Linked DNA regions of Oryctolagus cuniculus. The protein of the gene in region 1 purifies or fractionates together with the protein of each later gene. This does not show direct contact. Links are inferred from orthologs where the notes say so. Each region holds a gene or a part of one and is shown on either strand. Other genes may lie near its edges.

Region 1 (3,716 bases):
AGTTCTGTTTACCTTTTCATCAGATGAGAAGGTGGGGGAGGGTGTCCGGTAGGTTGAAGTCTCTCCTCCAGGGACTCCCTCCCCACTTCCCCCATGTGCCCACAGGCAGAACTCTGCCCCACTCGTGCCAAAGCCAGCCCTTCCACAGGACTTGGCCCTTGTACCAGCAAAACCCTCGCTCCCTACATCCGTTTCACCGGGGAGAGGGGGCGGGGCGGCGCGAGCTGGCCGACTCTGCAGATCGAGTGCTCAGGGCCCGACTTCAGGCAGCCTCGCTCGGCGTGGACGCCGCGCGCGCGAGCCCGGCGTTGAGAGGGGGAGCGGGCGGTGCGTCCTTTAAAAGAAGGAACACCTCTCTGGCCCTCCTCGGCGGCGAGGGGACGGCTTTGAGAGTCTTCTGATTTTAAAAGAGGAAGCAATACTGTGCCTGCGATACCAAACGCCCAGATTCGAGCGTGGCAGTTAGGAATCCCGCGCGGTTTTCTAACGCAGGGGCTGGGGGCGGGGCAGGGTATACTGGGAGGGGAGGAAACGCGGGAGAACAGCTCTCGCTCGGGGACCCGCGTGGCACCCACGGTGGGGAGGGGACAGGTGGGAAGGGGCCCGAGGCGCCCCCCTCCCACCGCCCGCTTCCGGCTCCGGGACGAGCCCCGCCGTGGGGCGACTTCAGGGGTGTCACGTTCCCGTGGCGTTCAAGCGAATGGCGCCTCCTCAGAGACACGTGAGCGGCGCCCCCTGCAATGGAAAGCCGCGGCGCTCCCGCGGGAGGAGTCAAGGACAGAGTCTGGGGGGCCTCTTCCGCCAGCCCCAGAGGAAGAAAGAGGAGGAGCGAGCGTAAGGTCCGAGGGTAGGGCAGCCTCTGACTCAGGACAGCTGCGGAGGAAGGGTGGCAGCGAGGGTCGGGCGGCACTGGAGCCGATGGAGCCCTCGGCGGACAGGCTGGCCACGGCCGCGGCGCGGGGCCGGGTGGAGGAGGTGCGGGCGCTGCTCGAGGCCGGAGTGCCGCCCGACGCTCCTAACCGCTATGGTCGGTCGGCGATCCAGGTAGGTGCGCGGATGGGCGGCCGGAGAAGCGGACAGCCGGGGGCTCTGGAGTGCGAGGTTTGCAGGGCTGCACTACCGGGGAGCGCTTCGATGCATCCGTCTTGGGGAGTTTTCCCGTGGAGCAAGGAATCAAAAACTTTCTCCTGGCGACCCCAGTGGGGTGGCGGGTCGGGAAGCCACCGAAGCAAAGAGCAGGCACGTGCGCTGTGGAGTTCTAGACTGCTGGGACGATCTGGCAAGGGGGAGCGATTTTATAAGATCTAACTCTATCAGGTGCAAAATTCACGAACGTTGGGGATGAAACGCGAGTTTCAAAGCCATGTATTTTTAATAATGATTTGCTGGGACTTCTCAGCCCCAAACTCAAAGGCCCCTGAATGGTGTTTATCCTCTTTCTCAATAAAGGGGGATTTCGGTGGAAATCGGATAAAATACCGATTGGAATTATTCAAAAGTAAATATATACGCTACTTATTTTAACTCTGACTGAGGTAATCTGTACTTACTATAAGAACTTGGGAAATGAAGACAAATATGGAGAGAAGCATTACTGTGATCTCGCTTGAGATAATGTATAGTTACCCTTTGGGGATATCTCCTATTATTCAGGGTATTTTTTGGTTTTTATGGCTTAACTTATTTGGGATTGTTGAGCAGTGTCATTTCTCCCCCTCTGCCCTCTGGTTTGGGCCGTACGTAGATTGTTTTGCTCTTTTGTCTACACCAACTTCCTAAATTTCAGTCTAAAACCAAATTCTTACTGGCAGTCACCACCCTAGTTTTATCCCTGGTGGTCAAAATGAGTTCTGATTCATAAAGAAAGAAAACTTTTATGAAACGAATGCGTGTTGCAAAAACTCCAGCACAACAAAGACAAAGGAAAGTAATTCTACATGGAATTTCACAAATGAGTTCTCCTTTCCTGAAATTATGCTACATAGGATAACTTTTATATATTTAAAATATAGATATAAAAATAAAACCAGAAATCTTTAAAACTTGAGATCATTTGGGATCTGAAGTATGGAGACATTTTGAAACTGAAAAGTTGGGTGGTTATTTAAGAATGTATGCATAATAATGTGTGCACCACTCATAATATCACATCTCTAAAATTTTGCCAGCAGCATGGAAACAATTTGGCTTTGTAGTTTTAGAAGAGACCTTATTTGATTAAATAAAAAAGGCAAATTTGGTTGGATGATTCTGAGTTTCTTAATAGGGAGGAGAAAGGGAAGATAATTTCGTTTAGAACCCTAACCAAATTTATGTTTAACACAGAAATACTTAGTTTATAGAAAAAATAAAGAAATAAATTCAAGTAAATTTCTTATTAAATTTATTTAATCACCCTCCAAATATTCATTTAATTAATTCATTCTTTTTGCTTTTAATTGCTACTATGGTTTGAATATTTAAATGTGTGCCACTTTTCAATTTTTTTTCATGCAACAAAACATTAAAAAAAGGTTTAAGACCAGCTTCATGACCAAAATGAAGGACTTTATAATATACCCAAACAGTGCAGTGCACTGTTTTTTCTTTCTTTCTGTTACTGTAATTTAGTTCACTTACATTTTCTTCTGGTCATTTTGAAAACTAAATCAGTTTCACTTTCTTCAAGGCAGGATTCAACAGCTACAGTATAATTTATTATGTCTCCTTGATTTACACGAATTAAGTAATTCATGTTTAATGGACAGAACATGACTAGAAATAAGTAATTCCTCTTTACACAGTCACTATCTTTGGGTTAATATAACCAAACAGTGGTTATCCTGAAAGAATTCTCTCTCTCCCACCTCTCCATTCAACAGTCAAATTGTAAAGCTGCTGTGATTTTGGACACCATTGTAAAATTACTCTTTGGGAATGGCTTTGTTTCAAAGATGATTTAGGAATCAGAGGTGAGCATTTTCCATTTAATAAACTCTCCAATCATAAGCTTAGAAGTGTTTTTCCTCTCTTCCTCTCTGTCCCATATTGAACTGCAGTTGGAAGAGCTGAGTCCAGTCTCAAAATGGAGGACTGTGATGTGCAGGAAACAGAGCATTTGAGGAAACTGTGGATGGGTGGGTGTCCTGATCTTTTTGAAACTACAGTTGATAGTTGGAGAAAACACTTTAAGAATAGGGGCACACTCACAGACTGTAAAGAGAGACCCTGAAACGAAACATTCCAGGGGCTTTGGTTTTGTGGCTTTCTCTTGTGTTGACGAGGTGGATGAAGCAGTGTGTGCTTGATCACACAAGGTTGCTGTACATGGAGTGGAACCAAAGAGAGCTGCTTCTAGAGAGGATTTGGTAAAGCCTGGTGTTCATTTAAGAGTGAGGGAGATTTTTGTGGGTGGTATTAATGAAGGTACAGAAGAATCTAATTTGAGGAATGTGCCAAGATTGAAACCGTAGACGTTTTGGAAGACAGGCAGAGTTGGGGAGGGGAGTGGAGAGGAATTGCTTTTTGTATCTCTTGAATGTCATGATAAGGCTGATAAAAATTGTTGCTCAGAAATAGCACACTATTAATGGGCATAGTTGTGAAGTGAAAATGGCCTCTTTTAAACAAGAGGTGCAGTCTGCCGCTGGATCACCAAGTGGCTGTGGACATGAATCTGACAACTTTATGGGTTGGGGAAGAACCTTTGGAGGTGGTGGAGATAATTTTGGCCATGG
Region 2 (3,740 bases), on another chromosome or scaffold:
CCGTACGAGCGGGATCCCGGCTCCAGGCGCACCGCACGGCTGGATTCGCCCCCGGTTCCCCCGCGCAGCCAAGCATCCGGCTGCCCACCTGCTGTGCAGGTGCGAGGTCCCGCGGGGGAGCCGCGCGAGGGCCACCCGGGCAGGTAAAGGCGCCGCAGTCCTGTAGGTGCGGAGGCAGACGGACCCCTGCCCCCGGGGCGTTCCGAGAGCGCCCGCCCGGCCGCCCAGGGGCCGGGGAGGAGCCCCCGCAGGCGACTTTGGGCGGGCAGCGCTCGCGGGCAGAGGCCGGAGGCGGGAGCGGCGCAGGTGCGCGAGGCCCTGTCTGGAGACGGAAGTGAGGCAGCCGAGGCCCAGGCGGGAGCGCGCGGCAGGTGCGTCCCGCATCCGGGCGGGGCGCGGCTCTGGGGCAGGGACAGCGCTGCCCGCGGTCACCAGGCGGTGGGCAGCGAAGGGCGTCCAAGGGCGGCCACGGGGAGGAGGGCCCGGCCTCCGCTCCCCCCGGGACACAGCCTCTCTGCGCGCTCCTCCCTGGGCGGGAGTGCGAGGCGGGGTGGGCCCGCGGTCGCCGGCTGTCCTGGGACGCACACTCCCCCCCCCCCCGAGGGTGGGCCCAGACCCCGGCTCCGCCCCCGGCACGGGGTCGGGACGCACCTGTTCTCGGGAGTTCTGGGTTTTGCTCAGGTGTGGATTTCTGACCAGCCCCCCAGCCCGGATTTGTGGGTGATCTGTGGAGGGCTGCCCCCCAAGGCGGGGCCGGGGCCCTCACCCCCCCCCCCCAGCCTCAGTGTGTCCTTTGAACCTGGCCCATCTGAGGTGGGTTCCCTGCCCCAGGTGTCCCCGTGTGGAGGACCGCGGATCCGGGACCCCTGAGCTGACCCCCTCCCACCTGCAGACCTGGGCCCCCCAGCTCCCCCTCCCCACAGACCTGGGCCCTACCCCCCCCACCTGCAGACCTAGGCCCTGCCCCCCACCCCTGCCCATTGGGACCCCAGGGCCGCGGTCCAGCGGCTTCTCCACGGCCACACAGCCCAGCGCAGACCGCGGGGAAGCTGGGACCGGGACCTAGGGGCGCGGGGAATGAGGGGCGTCTCTGCCCCCTCGGGGGTCTCCGCCGCTGCCGCCAGGCCTGTCAGCCACGTTCCGTGTCCCGGCAAACCAGAGCTGCGAAGGCTGCGGACGGCGGAGCCTGGAGGAGGGCGTGAATGAGTGCCTTCCAGGCCCTCTGCGGCCGACCCCATCGCCTGGCCCCGGGCGCCCACCGCGCCGACGGCTCGGACGGCGCCCTAGCCCCAGGGGCGACCCCGCCGTGCCCGCGCGGGACGGCGCGGACCCGCGAACCGCGCGCTCGCGCTCGTGGGACGAGACCGCGCGCGGGAATCCCGGCGCGCCCCTCCCCCAGGCGGGACGGCCCCGGGCTAGGGAGCGTCGGCGCTTCTCCTCCCGTCGGTCTGGCGAGCGTCCGGCCTTCCGTACGGCGTCAGCTGATTGGGCGGATCTGGACGATGCCCCGCCCAGGCCCCTGCATTGGCCAATTGCAGGGGGTTTCACAGGACGCCAGACTCAGGGGATTGTCGCCGTCCTGCGCCGTTTCGGGCATCCGTAGGCCTCAGTGGTCTTTGCCCCCCGGCCCCGGGCCCCGGCCCCAAGGAGACCTCCGGAACCTACGCGCTGAGACGCGCCCGCCGGGCATCCGGGGAGCCCTTGAGGAACGCGGCGCGCCCCTTCCCCGGCTGCTCGCCGGCGTATCCTCGAGTGCGCCCGCCCGCCCCGAAGGAGAGTTTGCAGACGCTCCCTCACTTCGAGGACGCGGCTCCTTTAAGAGCACAGGTGTCCAGGGCGCCGCCTGACTGGAAAGTCGCCCCCGGGCCGGGCTCCCCGACGGGACGCGGGACGCGGGCGCGCGGCGGCGGGGCGCGGGCGGCGAGGAGCGCGCGGGGCCGCGGGCGGCGCGCGGCGCGGCGCGGCGGCGGCGGCGCGCGGCGCAGGCGTGCGGCGGGCAGCCCCGGGCCAGGCCCCGCCCCGCCGCCCCGCCCGCGCCGGGGTCCTCGGCGCTCGGGGCTGCGCGCGGAGCGGGCTCCGGAGGGAAGTCCCGAGACAAAGGGAAGCGCCGCCGCCGCCGCTCGGCCCCCGCTCGTCCGTGACGCTCGCCGGGCCGCGGCCGCCCGAGGTGAGCGGGGCCGGGCGGGGGGCCTCGCGGGCTCGGGCCGGGCCGTCGGCGGCCCGCGCGGGGCGCGAGGCGGGCGCCGCGGCCTTCCGGGCGGCGCGCGGCCTCGGGGTCACGGCGGCCGCCCGGGCCGCGCCTTCCTCGGGCCGCGGGGCTCGCGGGGCCGCCCGGGAGGGCGCCGGGAGCGGCCGGTTGCGGACCAGCGGGCGCGCGGGGGGCTCCGCCGCCGCCGAGGGAAGTTTTCCTGCGCGGCCGAGAGCGCCCCGCTCGCCACGGGCGGCGGGCGGCTCCGTGCCGGCCAAGGTGAGGCCGTGGCCGCGGCCCCCAGCCCCCTGCCCCGCCGCGGGGGTCGCGCGTCTTCGGGGCCCGGAGCGCGCCCGGCCCTCCGTCCGCCTCCCGGGGCCTGTGTGGGCCGCCTGCCCCGCGCGGCGCCCCGGCCCTCTCCCGCAAGGCCGCTGGCCAAGCCCGCCGCTGTGCCTTTGTCTGGCGGGGCGCGGGGGTCCCGGGACGGGGGTCGGGCGCAGCCGAGGGAGGCGTGGGGTGCATGCCCCAGAGGGCCCGTCCGCGGGTGCGGGAGGGCCGAGAAGGGCCACGGAGGCGGCCGGTGCGGGCCGCGGCAGCCCACCTGTCCAGCGCGGCTGCGTGCTGAGACTGAGGCCGGGCGCCCGGCGCCGAGCAGGTGCGCACCTGTGGCTCGGCCCGGACGGGCAGCGCCGCCCGCCGCGGGGGTCTCTGTGGGCGGAGCTCTTTCGGGCCCAGCACGGGCAGGGGTGCAGTTCTGATGCGCTGGCTCGGGAGGGCGGGTTGCAGCGGGGAGGGTGTGAGAGGCGCACAGGAGCCTTGGGGACCGACGTCGGGCTCCCCGCGGCCCCCAGGCCCCTGCCGGCCCCTGCCCCGTGCTGTGCTGCCTGCTTCCGGGGACCCCAGGGCGCCCGGGGCTGGCTCGCGCGCTGCCCGTGCAGGTGGAGGCTGTGGTGAGCCACAGGCAGGTGTGCTGGGACCGGGCCGCCACGCCTGTTCCCGGAAGGGGCCCGGGCTGGGGCGCCAGGTGCGGGAAGGCGTGGCAGCCTGGCGGCGGCTTCGCCTCTTTAAAGGTTTATTTATTGTCAAGGCAGAGTTAGAGGTCGCGCAGCCGCTGGTTGGCTCGCCCAGACGGCCCCGTCGGCTGGGGCTGGGCCGTGTGGAAGCCGGGAGCCTCTTCTGGTCTCCCACGCGGGTGCAGGGGCCCAAGGCCCTGGGCGTCCCCCCGCAGGGAGCCGGCTGGGAAGTGGAGCAGCCGTGGGCTCAGCCTGCAGCCGTGCGCGGTGTGCGACGGCCGGAGGCGCCGGCACTCAGGAGCCCGAGGACCGTGGTCCTCGTCCGATCGTCTGTGGAGGTCTGGCTCTCCTGGGCTCTCGCCTGCTGGGTTCTGGGATGCCGCCCGCCCCGGGCAGAGCCTCCCCCTCTAACCAGTGCCAGGTGAGCCGTGGAGTGGCTCTGTAGCCAGGGACTTGGAGGGCGACACCCGTGGGTTCCGAGGACGGGGCAGACAGCAGCTGGTGGAGTCCAGGCGCGGCGGCCTGGGCCCTGGGCTGTG

Evidence for each region.
Region 2: the proteins of cyclin-dependent kinase inhibitor 2A (region 1) and UBE2I purify together in Homo sapiens (affinity purification with western blotting; 3 studies listed by BioGRID). This does not show direct contact. The link is inferred for Oryctolagus cuniculus from reciprocal best matches to the Homo sapiens genes CDKN2A and UBE2I.

The regions. Positions count from the first base shown.
Region 1 is NC_091432.1:185,038,045-185,041,760, reverse strand, and holds the start of cyclin-dependent kinase inhibitor 2A, read left to right. Parts: upstream 1-860; 5' UTR 861-918; coding exon 919-1,044; intron 1,045-3,716. UniProt on the Homo sapiens protein: Acts as a negative regulator of the proliferation of normal cells by interacting strongly with CDK4 and CDK6. This inhibits their ability to interact with cyclins D and to phosphorylate the retinoblastoma protein.
Region 2 is NC_091450.1:33,712,945-33,716,684, reverse strand, and holds the start of UBE2I (SUMO-conjugating enzyme UBC9), read left to right. Parts: upstream 1-1,561; 5' UTR 1,562-1,827; intron 1,828-2,010; exon of another isoform or gene 2,011-2,167; intron 2,168-2,314; exon of another isoform or gene 2,315-2,467; intron 2,468-3,740. UniProt on the Homo sapiens protein: Accepts the ubiquitin-like proteins SUMO1, SUMO2, SUMO3, SUMO4 and SUMO1P1/SUMO5 from the UBLE1A-UBLE1B E1 complex and catalyzes their covalent attachment to other proteins with the help of an E3 ligase such as RANBP2, CBX4 and ZNF451.